Linked DNA regions of Pelodiscus sinensis. The protein of the gene in region 1 interacts with the protein of each later gene in a pairwise test. Links are inferred from orthologs where the notes say so. Each region holds a gene or a part of one and is shown in the gene's direction. Other genes may lie near its edges.

The links.
Region 2: the proteins of L3MBTL2 (region 1) and TBC1D9B interact in binary tests that used the Homo sapiens proteins (3 or more experiments, as listed by UniProt). The two-hybrid records come from large-scale screens. The link is inferred for Pelodiscus sinensis from reciprocal best matches to the Homo sapiens genes L3MBTL2 and TBC1D9B.

Annotation. Positions count from the first base shown.
Region 1 is NC_134711.1:89,382,328-89,391,261, reverse strand, and holds the start of L3MBTL2 (lethal(3)malignant brain tumor-like protein 2), read left to right. Parts: upstream 1-5,236; 5' UTR 5,237-5,318; coding exon 5,319-5,426; intron 5,427-8,601; coding exon 8,602-8,857; intron 8,858-8,934. UniProt on the Homo sapiens protein: Putative Polycomb group (PcG) protein. PcG proteins maintain the transcriptionally repressive state of genes, probably via a modification of chromatin, rendering it heritably changed in its expressibility.
Region 2 is NC_134727.1:34,492,159-34,500,748, reverse strand, and holds the start of TBC1D9B (TBC1 domain family member 9B), read left to right. Parts: upstream 1-5,117; 5' UTR 5,118-5,230; coding exon 5,231-5,348; intron 5,349-8,590. UniProt on the Homo sapiens protein: May act as a GTPase-activating protein for Rab family protein(s).

The DNA of each region.
Region 1 (8,934 bases):
TAGAACAGAATATTAGCCAATAAACTTAATGCTGACTACACCTTGACTCAGCACTTTTGATCCTGCATTTTGTTTCAGGGCCCATGTGTAACCTTTATAGTGGTTACAAGGGAACCTTTCTATTACCCCAAATCATTGACAAATAAGGACTGCTTTATATTTGATTTACTATAGGCACTTCAGATTCTTATACCTTGGGTTCAGTGCTGTAGCTATCTTTAGACATCTCACACTGGCACCTTCTTTGTGTTTTCTCAAATCAGCAGTGAAAGTGAGCTTAAAATGGACATGTGCTGGGTTATCATCCAAGACTGCTATAACATGAAATATAGGGCAGAATGCATGTAAAACAGAGCAGAAGACATGCAGTACACCCACAGGGAGTTCAGTCACCTTTTTTTAACGAGCATCATCAGCATTGAAGTATGTCCTCTGGAATTGTGGCCAAAGCATGAAGGCGCATAGGAATATTTAGAATATCTGGCATGTAAATATCTTGCAGTACTGACTGCTGAAGTGCCATGAGAACACCTGTTCTCACTTTCAGGTGACATTGTAAATAAGAAGTGGGAAGCATTATTTCCCATAAATGTAAACAAACTTCTTTCTCTAAGCCAGGGGTCTCCAAACTTTTCAGTCCGAGGGCCGCATTAACTATCAAACAGCAGTTCGGGGGCCGACTACACACTTGAGGTCCAAATAAAAAACAATCAAAACATGGATGTTGTTTTTAATTATTTATTTAATATTATTTTATTCAGTTATTATTTAATAACACATTCATACACTACACATGAACACCTGTATTAGTGTGAATGGTGAAATTGTTTCCTGGATGCCAAAATAGCAGACATTTCTGGCTTTAGATTTGTTGTCCCTAACATCAACAGTGACCTGAGATTATCATCGGACAAGTTTGTTCTCAAATTGTTCTTCACGTATTTCATTCTTGAAAATGTTTGTTCACACAGGTATGTTGTTCCAAAGATTGAAAGGTACCTTGATGCAAAAGTTTTGACATTAGGAAAGTCTTCCTTGGGCAAAAACTGGTAAAAACCCACCAGTCCTATTTTGAACTTGTCCCTAAGGAGGTCATTTGCTTGCAACTCAATGACTTCCAGCTGCAGTTCATCTGGGCAACTGGCCACATCTGCTTCAAATGGGTTTTGAAACAATCTCACTTCTTCTGCCTTTGAATCCAAAAAGGTCTCCACGGGCCGGATGAGAGGGCCTCGCGGGCCGCATCCGGCCCCCGGGCCGTAGTTTGGAGACCCCTGCTCTAAGCAATCAGCTGAACAAGAAGTAGGACTGCATGGACTTGGAGGTACTAAAGTTTTATATTGTTTTGTTTTTGAGCACAGTTATGTAACAAAAAAAATCTACATTTGTAAGTTGCACTTTCATGATAAATAGATTGCACTATGGTACTATCATCAGATTAATTGAAAAATATTTTTAGAGTGCATATATTTTTACTGTAACTACTAAAGTGAGCACTGTATACTTCATAGTCTATGTTGTTATTGAAATGTATATATTTGACAATGTAGAGAAATATCAAAATATTTCATTTCAATTAATATTCTATTTTTCAATATGATTAAAACTGTGATTGTGAATGATTTTTTTATTACAATTTTTTGTGTTAATTGTGTGAGATAACTGCAATTAATCAGCAGCCCTAAAAATTAAGTTATATAAAATAGCCAAAGTATAGTAGCAAGTGCTTACTGATGATTTATAAACCTAAACAACTGATCTACTTAAATTTAGAGTAGGTAATCAATTTCAATAAATCAATAGCTGTGTTCATATGAATTTCCCCACAATAACTGACAGATTAAAATTAGGGCAGAAGCTCCAATGGATAAAATTATCTAATCCCCCCTCCCAAACAAGGTATGAGTGTGCCTTTTAGAGTGATGTATTTCTACCCAGCTCCTATAACTCCAGAATGGCTCAGCTGAACTTGCTTTACTTTTTTAATCCAGGTTTGAGCTCAACCATGAAACTTTTCAATTCCAAACTGGAAAAAAAACAGAATATAAAACTGGTGGGGTGGGGTGGGTTGGGGGGAGAGTTTGAATACAGTGGCCTTGTATCAGAAGGGTCCTGAGGGACATGTGGGGCTCAGGGCAGAAGTAACAAATATTTTATTTCCAGGACCAATCTTGTCACTTTCAAGATTGGTTCTGGAAATAATTGTGCCGGCTTGCAGAACCCCCCGCTCTCTCCCAAGAACATGGCCGGGTGCAGTCACCCCGATTCACCCCAGGGATGGCTCTGCTTTATATGATGACATTCATCTTGCTTGGTCAAAGAGGGAGGGGCACTTTTTTAAATATATTTAATGAAAAATGAGGAGTGGGATATTCCTGCTGCTTGTGAAACAAATTGGACATTATATTTAGCTGAAAAATGCTGAAATTTTATTTTAGTCAGTACACAAATATTCTTTCATTTTAGATCCGCTTCTAATTCCAGATCAATGGGTAGAACAAAATTATGGTTCTGGTTCGGTTCCTGTTAAAATACCAGCTTGAATTTGTTCTTCCGTAAAACACCCCGGACAAAATAGATTATCTGAGCAGTTCAGATGCAATGTTAAGATCCCTAAGTGCTCTGTGGCAGTTTTAAAATGAGCAGCAGAGGGACAGAGAATGATTCTAAGTATCTAAACCAAGAGTGGGCAATAATTTTTGATGGGGGGGCGGGCGGGAGAACACTCCAAGATTTTGGTAAGTGATCAAGGACTGCACTTTTCTATGGAGGGGGTCTGGGATGAAGGTTAGGTGTGGAAGGGAGCTTGGATTAGGGGGTTGGGGTGCAGGACAGGTTGTGGGGTCAGAAAGGGAGTTTGGGTGAAGGAGGAGATTGTGACCTGGGGCAGGGTTTTGGGGTGTAGGGTCTGGGAGGAGGTATGGTTATGCAGGAGAGAATTCTGGCCTGGGGCAGGAATGTAGGAGGAGGTGCAGGGTCTGGGAAAGAGTTGTGACCTGGGGAAAGAGGGGAGAGGGAGTGCAGAGAGTTTGGATGGTGACCTGGGGCAGAGAATTCGGATGTTGGAGGGGCTGGGGTACCAGAGGCAGGCTGTGGCCGGGAGGCTCTTACCTAGGCCACTCCCAGCCAGCAGTTCTGCAGGACCCTGAGGCAGACTCCTGGGAAGGGTTGGGGTGAGGGCTCTGGCTGGAGGTGCGGGCTCCAGGTCTGACCAAATATCAGGGTTTGAAATGCAGGAGAGAGCTGGGACAGGTGTGCAGGAGGGAATGGGGACTCCAGCTAGTGGTGGGGGTTCTGGGTTGGGGCCAGAAATGAGGGGTTCAATGTTCAGGCAGGGATAGAGGGTCAGGGTGCAAGATAGGGTGAGGAGCTGGAGGTGCATGCTCTGGGGTGGGGCTATGGTTTGGGGTGCAGGAAGGGGCTGGGGAGGGAGTTCTTGGCAGTGTTCTCAGGTGGTCCAGGGAAGCTGCTGGCATCTCTCTCCAGCTCCTGCACTGAGACAGAACCACATGGTTCTGCATACTGTCCAAACCTGCAGGCAACACCCTCTCAGCTCTCATTGGCCATGGTTACTAGCCAATGGGAGCTGCTGAGCTGGCGCTGGAGGCAGTGCGTGGAGCCCCCTGAGCTATCCCTCCACCTAAGACCCAGAGGAAGCTGCCCGGCAACTCCTGGGAGCACCATGGAACCAGCTACAGAGCCTGCCTGCTCTGCCAACCAGACTTTTAATGCCCACCCATCAGCAGTGCTGACAGGAGCCACCAGAGTGGGTGTTCCAGTCAAAAACTGGACTCCTGGCAACCCCACCACAACAGACAGAGCCAGTCTTAGGGGTGGGTGAGCTGGGTGTTACCCAGGGCTGCCATTTTCAGGAAGACCACATTTTGGCCTGACCTCCCGAATGCCCCTGGTTACTCCCCGACCTCCCCCCCCCTTTTTTTTTCCTCAACAAATTTTTGTCTGGTATATTTTTTAAACCATCTGGCAACCCTATGGGCAAGCTGGGTGGTCGCCCAGGGCTGCCAATTGGTTAGGACCAGGACCGTGACAACAGACTGTACTCAAGCATATCACTAATATAAACTGCATTCCCCAAAGGAAAGTGCCTCAGAGCCCCATTGCAGAGAGGTTATGGAAGGAACCACAGCAAACCTCTCCCCTGCTGCTAAGAGAGCCATTAAGGCAGCAGTGCAAATACATTACAACATTGCTTTAGTTTAGATGGTCTAGGCCAGTGAGAAGAGTGATGGAAATGTAGCCGTGTTAGTCTGGTGTAGCTGAAACAAAAAACAGGACTATGTAGCACTTTAGAGACTAACAAGATGGTTTATTAGGTGATGAGCTAATAAGTGGGTCTGGCCCATGAAAGCTCATCACCTAATAAACCATCTTGTTAGTCTTTAAAGCGCAGCATAGTCCTGTTTTTTGTTTAGGCCAGTGAAGGCCAACTTTGCCTTGTGAGGGGCAGCATGACTGGCCCTCTTTTGTCTCAGGGGGCTACAGGATAGTTGTAACCAAGCCAGTCTCCCGGGACTGGGTCGTTTCACTAACTGCACTTGCACACGCAGCATTTGCAGGGCACCGATCGAACCGAAGCAGCAGGTTGATTGGCTGCAGAAGGAGCCGGGGGCTCTCAGTGTTGTGTGCACTCAGCATGCACCTCATTGCACGTGCCCCTCACTAGTAACACCCACAGGGGGGAACCAGCAGAATCCCAACTCCAGGGTGCAACGGCAAACAAAATGGCTCACGGGCCACACGCCCGCCCCGCTGGGCCACAGGCTGCTCCAGGCTGCGTAACGGGCCGAGGGGAAACCCGGCAAAGTAACACGCGGGGCGGGGCGGGGCGGGGCGGGCCCCCCTGCAGTGGCCGGGCCTGTGCCGGGAGAGCAGAGCCTGCCCGGGCGGAGCCATTTCCCGGCACCGATGCGCCCCGGGGCCCGGCGTCTCGCTGCTCCGACCGCCTCAAGGCGCGGAGGGCGGGGCGCGTGCCGCCACCCCGCCTGCGCGCGCACTGCCAGAGCTCCGCCCCCCCCCTCACGTGCACGGGGCTGTCGGGAGAATGACGCAGCCGGAAGGAGAGACCGTGCCCGGGCGGGGCAGTAACCTCTCCGGCCTCCCCGTGGCTTCCTTCCGCCAAGCTACCGGGCTTAGCGAACTACAACTCCCAGAACGCCCTGCGGCGGGAAGGCGCTCTCCCCCCCCCCCGTTTACTGTGTCTAAGCAACCTGTCGGGGGATTGGCCAGCAGGGACGGGCCAATAGGCTTTTCCGGTGCATGGGGGACAGTGAAGCTAACGCGCTCGTGGCTAGCGTGTGATGCCCGGCCGTGGGGCGGGGCCTGGTCGGGGAAGGCAGCACGTGTCCGGCGCAGCTGCTCTTAGCCGGGCGCGGGGAGCCATGGAGCTGGAGCCGGAGCCGGGCGAGGTGAGCGGCGGGGCAGAGAGATGCTGCGTCCCCGGGCCCTGCGCGCGCCCCGGCGCCCCCCTCTCGCCCCGCGGGACTCCGGGGGCCCAGCGCTGCAGCCCGGCGGCCCCTGTGAGACGCCCCCATCCAGCGCCTTGCCCAGGGATCCGCGTCGGCTTCCCGCTGCCCTGGCGCCAGGCTGTGGGCGGGGAAGCCCGCTCCGCCCAGGGGCTGGGCACGGAAGGATCCTTCGCAGCCGCTTTCCTGAATTCAGTTTGTAAAAGGGTCTGGGTCGCGGTGCGGCAATGGGCCCGGCTGGGGGTAGACCAGGCTCCTGGAGCGGTGGGACTGCACTCAGTGGCGCCTTCGCTGTCGGCTTTTTGGTTCTTCTACCCCATGGCCGTAGGTGTGAACGGTGCTCCTGACACTGCCTCTGGGGAAGAGTTCAGACTCGGTGGGAGCAGCCTGAAGCCCTGTGTTCCTTAATACAGTGTTTCTCAAACTGTGCTCAGCGGCTCCGTGAGGGTGACAAACTAGAAACATTGATAGGTACAAATCATATAATCAGGGGTCCGCTGGGGCGCTGCATACATTTTTACGCATGTAAAGTGCTCCAGAGCCCAAAAAGTTTGAGAACTGCTGCCTTAATACAGTAAAATTCCGATAATCTGGCACCTTTAGGACCCAGGGGGTGCTGGATTATCAGATTTGCCAGACTATCGGAAGGGGGGGCTATGAGGGGTCTGGGGTGGGGTGGGATGCCACCTCAGACCCCTCATAACCCCCCCTTCCGATAGTCCGGCTCTGCCCCAGGCGACCCCGATTCAGCCGCTGCTGGTCAGTTTCAGCAGCGGCTGAATCGGGGATGCCTGCAGCAGAGCAGCTGGACCTGTGGCGCGGCAAGACCAACCCGGCAGCACCCCAGCTGCTCTTGGGGATGCTTGGGGCAGAGCAGCTGGGGTGCTGCCGGGTTGGTCCCGCAGCCCTGCTCCTCGGCGCTACTGGACCAACCCGGCAGCACCCCAGCTGCTCTACCCCAGGTGTCCCCAAGTCAGCTGCTGCTGAAATTGATCAGCGGCTGACTCCAGGAAGCCGGAGGCAGAGTTACTCTGCCCCGGGCTTCCTGGAGTCAGCCACTGGTCAGTTTCAACAGCGGCTGAATCCAGATGCCTGGGACAGAGCAGCTGGGGCGCTGCTGGGTTGGTCTGGTAGCGCCAACCCGTGGCACTACCAGACCAACCCTGCAGCACCCCAGCTGCTCTGTCCCAGGTGTACCCAAGACAGCCGCTGCTGAAACTGATCAGCGGCTGACTCCAGGAAGCCGGAGGCAGAGTTACTCTGCCCCGGGCTTCCTGGAATCAGCCCCTGATCAGTTTCAGCAGCGGCTGAATCGGGGACAGCTGGGGTGCTGCCGGGTTGAGTCCTGCAGCTCTGAGGGGCAGCACTACGGGACCTAACCGGCAGCACTCCAGCTGCTCTGCCCCAGGCTTCTCCGATTCAGCCGCTGGTCAGTTTTAGCAGCAGCTGAATTGGGGAAGCTGGGGGCAGAGCAGCTCCAATGGTCCGGGTGCCTGGAGCACTTCCGGGTTCCTGATGGTGCCGGACCATCAGATGCCGGACCATCGGAGTTTTACTGTAGATCATTTTTACTCCAAGGCAGAATCTGTTTCTCTGTGTCCCAGCATGTATGTGATTGTTCTTATTTTGGGGAGGGAAGAATAGGGAAAGCAATGTAAAGTACAATGTTTGGAGGCTGAAGTTTTGCTCAGACCCTAAAACAGGGCTACTCCACTTTGGAAGCCTTGAGGGCCACAATGATACTCACAGCACATGTCGAGGGCTGCAACTTAAGTGTGGTTGCATATACATGCAAATATATGCAAATAGCTTCTTTCACACTGACTGGCACAAATACCAAGATTAAGCCTTAAGCTGCGGCACCGGACCCAAATGTGGCCAGTGTAAACCAGTCAGCACCTCTCAGGCTCTGCCCACAAGGCTAAGCAACCAGCACTTCCCACAATGCCCCGGTGCTCCCGGCACCTCCTCCTGACACCCTGTTCTCGTCTGTTCTAGCCAGCCCGTCTGCTTGCATCTTTCAGTGCTCATCCTGCCTGGGAGATGCCTTGCCATTGTGGAGCATGTTCCCAGTGGAGGCCATGTTCAAAGGATCCCACCCATGGGCCATGTGTTGAGCTCCACATAAACCCAAACCACACTATGGGCTGTAAACAAACGGACTGCAGCCCGTTTGTTGAATAGCTGTGCCCTAAAAGCGTATGCCACTAACTTACCACCTGAGAGCAGAAAAGGGCCAGTGACCATAAAAACAAGTGGTCCTGTGGCACCTTAGAGAATATATAGAATCATGAGCTTTTGGGGGCAAAACTTCATCAGATGAATTGGAGTGGAAATAACAGAAACCTATATAGATAAAAACACATCAGAAGTACCACCTGTCAGTTGTAGGACCTATGTTACTGAGGCTAATTAAATGGACTGGATGTCTCCCATACGTAGCTTTTGATGTGGAAATGCAGATGTTAATGACAGAAGAAATTGGCTTTGTAATGCACCAGCTAGTTAATGTCTTTGTTTAGAGTAAGGTAACAGGTGCCAAATGTATAGATGAATTCCAGTTTTGCAGACTTTCTCTGTAATTGGTTAGTGAAATTCCTTTGTAGAAGAATGGCTACTTTTAAATCCTTGATTGAGAGACATGACGGGTTTTATGTATGTTACCATTTCTGATTTCCAATTTGTGTCCATTTATCCTTTGTCGTAGAGACTGTCCAGTTTGGCCAATATACATTGCAGAGGGGCATTGCTGGTACTTGATGGCATATATCGCATTAGAGGATGTGCCTCTGAAGTTGTGGCTTTTGTGGTTAGGGCTTATGATGGTGTCACTTGTATGTATGGACAGAGTAGGCAATGGGGTTTGTAGCAAGGGCAGGTTCCTTGGTAAGCATATGAGGTGTGATGATGTTGGCTGCTGGAAAGGATTTGCTTCAGGTTGAGGGGGTTGTCCCAAATGAGTCACACCTGATTTTGGGGTAGAATTACCTTAACAGCCACATCAGGTTTCCCCTCCCTACGCCTCATGGGAGAGCCCTACTGTGCTGAGGCTATATTGCAAATTCTGGCTCTGAAGAGTGGTTTCCTCTGCTACTTGTTGTCTTCCTTCTGCTACAAGACGTCATCTTTGGAACGGATGGAGGATGAGGACGAGGAGGATGAAGACGATGACGATGACAACTTGGACCTCTTTGGGGGTTATGACAGCTTCCGGGGTTACAACAGCAGCATGGGCAGTGACAGCAGCTCCTGCCTGGATGAATCTAGTGATGATGATGTGGCTGATCGTGAAGCTGGGGAGCTGCCCACCTCCCCTCTGCAACTACATCCGCCCACCACAGGCCGATTGATGGAGGACAGTGGCTCTGAGCCAGGTACCGTTGTGCCTCTTTATTGCATGCAGTGTGTATAGCTGATTAGAAACTGGTATGGATCCATTTGAAAGCAGTAC
Region 2 (8,590 bases), on another chromosome or scaffold:
TGGGAAAGATGGATACTCTCCATCATCTGGCAAATGCTGGACCCCCACAACCTGTTCCAACAGGAAAGTGAAATCTCTCTGGCTACGTCTAGACTGGCATGATTTTCCGCAAATGCTTTTAACGGTTTTAAAAGTTTTCCGTTAAAAGCATTTGCAGAAAAGAGTGTCTAGATTGGCACGGACTCTTTTCTGCAAAAGCCCTTTTTGCAGAAAAGCGTCCCTGCCAATCTAGACGCGCTTTTCCGCAAAAAAGCCCCGATCACCATTTTCACGATTGGGGCTTTTTTGCGCAAAACAAACCTGAGCTGTCTACACTGGCCCTTTTGCAAAAGGACTTTTGCCCGAACGGGAGCAGCATAGTATTTCCGCAAGAAGCACTGATTTCTTACATGAGATCGTCAGTGTTCTTGTGGAAATTCAAGCAGCCAGTGTAGACAGCTGGCAAGTTTTTCCGCAAAAGCACTTGCTTTTGCGGAAAATCTTGCCAGTCTAGACACAGCCTCTTTGTTTTGGTTTGGGAAGAAACACACTTTCTGTGGCCCATTTGGGTGAAGGCAGCATAGGGAGGCCTCCTCTCTAATTCTTTTGCAGGAAAGGTGGAATGCAGAGAGATCCCTTCCAAGCTAGCTCTCAGAGGTTCCTTTACCAAAGGGGGCTAGGACACACGAGCTACTTCTTGTTGCCTAGAGGCTGCAGATGGCACAAAAGGATGCTCCTTGTCTGTGGTAGAGTGCATTCAAACCTTTCCCAGAGGGTCCACTCCTTGGGAATAAGGTTATATTTGGTGCACAGCATACTCCTGAGTAGTGTTCCCTCTAAGCGGAGCACTTTGGTGTCCACCCAGAAGAGATTCAAATGCCTGTCCCAACTGATTAGCAGAGCACCCAGAACCGACAGCATGTGTTTCTACTAGTGGTGAATATCCACATCTGCTTCAGTGGAAATAAAATGCAATCTGCTTATGGATGGAAAAAATTAGAGGGAACATTGCTCCTGAGTAGGCCTGTAAATCCACGGATATCTGCATCCACCGATGTAGATATTTGTGGTTCATTTTTGTGGATACCAATTTTGTATCCAGAATCCTGCAAATTTGTGGATATCCACTTTATAGCCACAGGTATCTGCAAGTCGTCCACAGATGTGGACGCAGATACTAATTTAACTCTGCTCCTGAGTCCCATTTCCCCAGGAGGAGGGAAGGCCTCTCCCTTCTGTCTGGCAGGGAAAGTGGAGGGAGCACGGAGAAGGTGTGTCCTATTCCTAGCAGTGCCAACTCTCAAGATTTTGTCACGAGTTATAACATTTGGAGTTTTGCTTGAAGCCCCAACTACTGGAGTTGTGACTGCAGTGAGAATTGCAGCTTTCGTTTCACAGAATGTACGTTTTTAACCTGCATATTTAGGGAGAAAAGCCTGAAAACATGCACCCTAAAGGCTTAGGCATCAGAATGTAATTTTTTGAGGTGAACTACATTCATGACTGAAACAAAAAACAGTCCTCTATGTAGCACTTTAAAGACTAACAAGATGATTTACTAGGTGATGAGCTTTCGTGGGCCAGACCCACTTCCTCAGATCAAATAGTGGAAGAAAATTGTCACAATTGTTTCAGCTACACCAGACTAACACGGCTACATTTATATCACTACATTCATGATTGTGAGGGCCCTAACTCACAATATTTGAGTGTTTAAAGTTGGCAACACTGTGGTGGTGGTTGGCGGTGGGGGACAATGCAACAGGGGAGGACGTAGGTGGATTAGGAACAGGAGTTTGTGGGGAGACTTCCTATCCTCAGGGGTGTGGTGGAGCAACCTCTGTTGTGGCACAAGGCAAAGGGCTATTCCCCCATAAGGAAGTGGAGGCACTGAGGATGGGGCTATTCCCCTGGCAGGGATGACCTCTGTCATGGCATTAGAGATAAGGGCCAGTCCCCCGGGGATGGGAGAATGTTGTCTGTGGCTTGGGCAGAGGGAGACCATTCCAGCAGGAGGGTCTCTGTGGCAATGGAGAAAGTGGCTGTTCCCCAAGGGTGAAGTGTCTCTGTGGCACTGGAATAGAGGGCCTGTTCCCTAGGCAGAACCGGCCCAAGCTATGGGCTGACTGGGCTACCACCCGGGGTGCCCCATTGTAGGGGGCGCCACGCAGGGCTGCCGGGCACCCCGGACCCAGGGCGCATGAATGGCTCGGGCCGGCCCTGTCCCTAGGGGGTGGGGAAGGGTCTCCTGGGGCAAGGATTACCTGGAGGGAGGGTCTCTGATGCATGGGGGGGCATTCTAGCAGGGTCAGTGGAGGGTTCCTGAGGGCAAGGGACCATCCCCCAGGGGGTCTCTGTGGCAATGGAATGGTGGGGACTGTTCCCCAGGAGGAGAGGGGTGAGTATTCTAGAGCAGTCATGGGGAGGGTTCTCCCGGCAGAGGGACCTTCTGCAGGGGATGGGGGGAGGCCTCTCTGGTATGGGCTGGGCTGTTCCCCAAAGAGTGGAGGAGGCTTTGGGCGGGAAGACTGTTCCTGGGGGGTCTCTGTGGCACAGCGGGTCTGTTCCCCACGGAGTGGGGGGGGGGGGCTCTGAGGCACAGGGCAGGCCATTCCCAGAGGGGGATTTCTGTGGCACAAAGGGTGTGTTCCCTGGGGGAGGGGAGGCTCTAAGGCACAGGGCAGGCCATTCTGGGGGGGGGGGGTCTGTTCCGCAGCGGAGCCAGGGGCTCTGAGGCACAGGGTGGGCCATTCGGGGTGCGGGGGCCGGGTCTGTTCCCCAGGGGAGGGGGGGCGCTGAGGCACAGGGCAGGCTGTTCTCAGGGGGGGTCTGTTCCCCAGAGGAGGGGGGGCGCTGAGGCACAGGGCGGGCTGTTCTCCGGGGGGGGGGTCTTTTCCCCAGAGGTGGGGGGGGCTCTGGGGCACAGGGCGGGCCGTTCTCGGGGGGGGGGTCTGTCACCCAGGGGAGGGGGGCTCTGGGGCACAAGGCAGGCAGTTCTCAGGGGGCGGTCTGTTCCCCAGGGGAGGGGGGGTTTTGGGGCACAGGGCGGGCCGTTCTCGGGGGGAGGGTCTGTCCCCCAGGGGAGAGTGGGCTCTGGGGTACAGGGCGGGCCGTTCTCGGGGGGGGTCTGTCCCCCAGGGGAGCGGGGGCTCTGGGGTCAGGGCGGGCCGTTCTCAGGGGAGGGGTCTGTCCCCTAGGGGAGGGAGGGCTCTGGGACACAGGGCGGGCCGTTCCCGGGGGGGGGGTCTGTCCCCCAGGGGAGGGGGGCTCTGGGGCACAGGGCGGGCCGTTCTCGGGGGGGGGGGGTCTGTCCCCCAGGGGAGGGGGGCTCTGGGGCACAGGGCGGGCCGTTCTCGGGGGGGGGGAAGTCTGTCCCCCAGGGGAGGGGGGCTCTGGGGCACAGGGCGGGCCGTTCTCGGGGGGGGGGTCTGTCCCCCAGGGGAGGGGGGCTCTGGGGCACAGGGCGGGCCGTTCCGGGGGGGGTCTGTCCCCCAGGGGAGGGGGGCTCTGGGGCACAGGGCGGGCCGTTCCAGGGGGGGTCTGTCCCCCAGGGGAGGGGGGCTCTGGGGTACAGGGCGGGCCGTTCTCGGGGGGGGGGTCTGTCCCCCAGGGGAGGGGGGCTCTGGGGCACAGGGCGGGCCGTTCTCAGGGGGGGGGGTCTGTCCCCCAGGGGAGGGGGGCTCTGGGGCACAGGGCGGGCCGTTCTCAGGGGGGGGGGTCTGTCCCCCAGGGGAGGGGGGCTCTGGGGCACAGGGCGGGCCGTTCCGGGGGGGGTCTGTCCCCCAGGGGAGGGGGGCTCTGGGGCACAGGGCGGGCCGTTCTCGGGGGGGGGAAGTCTGTCCCCCAGGGGAGGGGGGCTCTGGGGCACAGGGCGGGCCGTTCTCGGGGGGGGGGTCTGTCCCCCAGGGGAGGGGGGCTCTGGGGCACAGGGCGGGCCGTTCCGGGGGGGGTCTGTCCCCCAGGGGAGGGGGGCTCTGGGGCACAGGGCGGGCCGTTCCAGGGGGGGTCTGTCCCCCAGGGGGAGGGGGGCTCTGGGGTACAGGGCGGGCCGTTCTCGGGGGGGGGGGGTCTGTCCCCCAGGGGAGGGGGGCTCTGGGGCACAGGGCGGGCCGTTCTCAGGGGGGGGGGGTCTGTCCCCCAGGGGAGGGGGGCTCTGGGGCACAGGGCGGGCCGTTCTCGGGGGGGGGTCTGTCCCCCAGGGGAGGGGGGCTCTGGGGCACAGGGCGGGCCGTTCCGGGGGGGGTCTGTCCCCCAGGGGAGGGGGGCTCTGGGGCACAGGGCGGGCCGTTCTCGGGGGGGGGGGTCTGTCCCCCAGGGGAGGGGGGCTCTGGGGCACAGGGCGGGCCGTTCTCGGGGGGGGGTCTGTCCCCCAGGGAGGGGGGCTCTGGGGCACAGGGCGGGCCGTTCCGGGGGGGTCTGTCCCCCAGGGGAGGGGGGCTCTGGGGCACAGGGCGGGCCGTTCCGGGGGGGGTCTGTCCCCCAGGGAGGGGGGCTCTGGGGCACAGGGCGGGCCGTTCTCGGGGGGGGGGGTCTGTCCCCCAGGGGAGGGGGGCTCTGGGGCACAGGGCGGGCCGTTCTCGGGGGGGGGGGGGGGTCAGTCCCCAGGGGAGGGGGGCTCTGGGGCACAGGGCGGGCCGTTCCGGGGGGGGGTCTGTCCCCCAGGGGAGGGGGGCTCTGGGGCACAGGGCGGGCCGTTCTCGGGGGGGGGTCTGTCTCCCAGGGGAGGGGGGCTCTGGGGCACGGGGCGGGCCGTTCCGGGGGGGTCTGTCCCCCAGGGGAGGGGGGCTCTGGGGCACAGGGCGGGCCGTTCTCGGGGGGGGTCTGTCCCCCAGGGGAGGGGGGCTCTGGGGCACAGGGCGGGCCGTTCTCGGGGGGGGGTCTGTCCCCAGGGGAGGGGGGCTCTGGGGCATAGGGCGGGCCGTTCCGGGGGGGGGGTCTGTCCCCCAGGGGAGGGGGGCTCTGGGGCACAGGGCGGGCCGTTCTCGGGGGGGGGGGGTCTGTCCCCCAGGGAGGGGGGCTCTGAAGCGCGGGAGAGTCGCTCCCTGGGGCTCGGGCCTGGCCGTGGCGCTGAGGCGGCAGCTCCCGCCCAGTCCCCCAGGGGAGGCGGCGGCCGTTGCGCGCCGCCATGAGCCGGCCGGGCCGCCAGAGGGCGCCGCCCCGTCGGCTCCCGGGGCTGAGCTGAGTCGGCTGGGCCCCGTCACTCGCCCGCGCGGCCCGGCCCGAAGCCGCCCGGCCCAGCCGAGCCGGCGCCATGTGGCTGAGCCCCGAGGAGGTGCTGCTGGCCGGCGCGCTCTGGGTCACCGAGCGGGCCAACCCCTTCTTCCTCCTGCAGCGGCGGCGAGGCCACGGCAAGGGGGGCGGCCTGACGGGTGAGGGGCCGGGGGGGCGGGCAGGGCCGGCGGGGGGGGGGCTCTGCCTTGTCCTGCCCCTCAGGGCCCGGCTCTGGCTCTGGCTGCCGCGCGCGGTGCCAACGGGATGTTACCTCAGGACCAGTCAAAACCTCATCGGTTTGCGTCGGTTAGTCCCGGGCGGGGCCGGCAGCGGCGCCTCCATCCCCAGGCCCGGAGGGGGGGGGGCTCGCCCCCAGCGCACCCCTTAGCACTTCAGTCAGGCCCCTCCCCCCCACAGGTTGGCGCCCCCTCCCATGTCAATCAGGCGCCTTATGGCTCGGTCCAGCTCTGCTCCCCCGGAGCCCCCTTGGCTGCTGCCTCCGATCCAGAGGCAGCACTATGGGGTGTGAGGTGGGAGCTGGTCCATGAGGGGAGCTCCCCTCCCGGGCTGGCGGCCTGTCCCCCCGTGCTGCACAGCGTGGGATGGCAGCGGCCTCCGTCTGGGGGGAGGACCCCGCGCCAGCCAGAACTGAGCCAGGCTGCCCGCCCGATTCCTAATACACTTTAAATGCAGAGCCGCAACTGGGATAGGTCCTGGACCTGGCCTGACTTGCGCTGCTGGCTGGCCTGCTAAAAAAAAATGTACTGGCAGAGCAGGGAGGTGGGGGGAGAAGAGATACGTGTAGTCTACAGCATCAACCTATAGGCTTTTGCTTATCGGTGAATGGGTTAATCAATTACACTATTACATCCCTAATGCAAACCCGGACCTGCCTTGAGCTGTGAGGTGCTCCCCAGTGTGTACAAGGGGCTGGCTCCCATCCCCCATTAGTGGGGTAGAGAGGCCAAGCCGGATGGATCACAGGCTTGTTACATTTCCAAACAGACACCTTGTAGTTTTCTTTCTCTTTTGTGTGGGAGGTGACCCCTGCGGAGATCTGCAAAGCTGTTTCATTCCCACCCACCGTATTCCACCTTAAAACTTTCTTTTGCAGTACGGCCTACAAAACAACTTGACAAAGGTTAGGCCACTGGCTTGCTGTGACCTCTGCCTGTCCTGCCTCATTGTTTCTTTCTGTTGCCTTGGCTGTAGCCCCACATTGTTTCTGACCTGATACTTCTATTAGGAGCTCTTTGGGGCAGGGACCCTCCTTTTGTTCGGTTTATACAGTGCCTAGTGCAATGGGTCTTGGGTCATGACCTGTCTTCTAGAAACTACCACAGTATTTAAAAAAAAAAAAACCAAGAACAGAAGTAGATGGAATTTTTCTCCATGGTAAAAGATGGTTGTTTGTATAATACTCATATAGTCATGACTTGCTGAAGGATCTTCCGTTTTGCAGATTTGTATGATTGGCAATCTTTACAGGAGTCTGAGAGGTATTATAGCTCTTAAGTGCACATCTGAGAAAGTTTTGTGATGAATACAGTTGTTTTTAGACTTTATAGTTATGAATATTTTGTTACACTTGCAAAATTGAAGCTGTTTGCCGGTTAGTTAGAATTATTCATTTTATTTGTGTGTGCCTCATTTGAGTAAAAAAAATGTAGTGATGGATGTGATCATATAGGGTTTAACTGATATCGATAACCAGTATTTGCAATCATTTTCAGAGCATCCCTCAATAGTATACTTTCATTATGTGATATGCAGAATTAGCTATTGTAGCAGATTCACTCACTTTTCGCACAGCTTCTCACTTTTTTGCCCAGATGACTTCCTCAGGGTGGCTTGTGGGGAAGTCACCCACTTCTCTGACACGCCCCCTTTGAGTGAGGTGTTCTCTTCAGGTCACTGCCCTCCGCTTTTCGTCCATGCCCTCTTCCGGGGGGAGTCACTGTTCTTCTTGTACACCCAGGGTCCTCCTTACTCCCAGAGACCCCTAGCTCTTCCCAGGAGCACTCAGCTCCTTCCTGGAACACCCAGTTTCTCAGTCTGCCGGGTTCCCTCCTGCACCTCTGCCTTTGTGCCTTCTGGCCTAGGGCTTCCCTGGCCTACCATAACTGCCTCTGTGTGAGCCATGGGTGCCTCCCTGCAGCCCGGCCTTTTAGGGCTGCCTCCGTGCAAGCCCCCGCCCTTTATGACTGCCTCCATGCAGCACTGGGCCTCAGGCCGGGTAGTCTGGGTTCGCTGGGCCCAAAGCCTGTGGCCCTGGGGCGGCAGACAGGCAGAACCCTCTCCTCTTCCCAGGAGCTGCTCTTATAAGCTCCAGTTGGGCCCCCCAACTCCAGGTCTCCCAACCCCTTAAAGGGCCAGTGCAGGGCAACACCCTGCTACACTATGTAAATATTGCAAAATGTATAGGTTACATTTATCTACTAATGTGCATACATAATATAACATCTAGAAATGTGGTGCCATTAAAACGACAAATAACTACCACTTCAATTTGTTGGCCATACCAACACATGGGGGGGGGGGGGGGGGGGGAGAGGATATTGTTTGGGTTAACCCTGAACAAGAACTTTTGGTAAAACAAAAATCAAAAGATTTTTCTTTAAGAACATACGAACATAAGAATGGCCATACTGGGTCAGACCAAAGGTCCCTCTAGCCAGTATCCTGTCTTCTGACAGTGGCCAATACCAGGTGTCCCAGAAGGAGTGAATCGAACAGGTAATTATCAAGTGATCTTTCTCCTGCCATCCATTTCCACCCTCTGACAAACAGAAGCTAGGGACACCATTCCTTACCCATACTGGCTAATAGCCATTTATGGAACTAACCTCCATGAATTTATCTAGTTCTCTTTTAAACCCTGTTATAGTCCTAGCCTTCACAGCCTCCTCAAGCAAGTAGTTCCACAGATTGACTATGTGCTGTGTGAAGAAGAACTTCCTTTTATTTGTTTTAAACCTGCTGCCCATTAGTTTCATTTGATGGCCCTTGGTTCTTATATTATGGGAACAAGTAAATAACTTTTCCTTATTCACTTTCTCCACACCACTCATGACTTTATATACCTCTATTATATTCCCCCTTAGTCTCCTCTTTTCCAAGCTGAAAAGTCCAAGTCTCTTTAATCTCTCTTCAGATGGGACCCATTCCGGACCCCTAATCATTTTAGTTGCCCTTCTCTGAACCTTTTCTAATGCCAATATATCTTTTTTGAGATGAGGAGATCAGATCTGTACGCAGTAGTCAAGATGTGTGCGTACCATGAATTGATATAAGGGCAGTAAGATGCTCTCCATCTTATTCTCTATCCCTTTTTTAATGATTCCTAGCATCCTGTTTGCTTTTTTGACTGCTGCTACACGCTGCGTGGATGTCTTCAGAG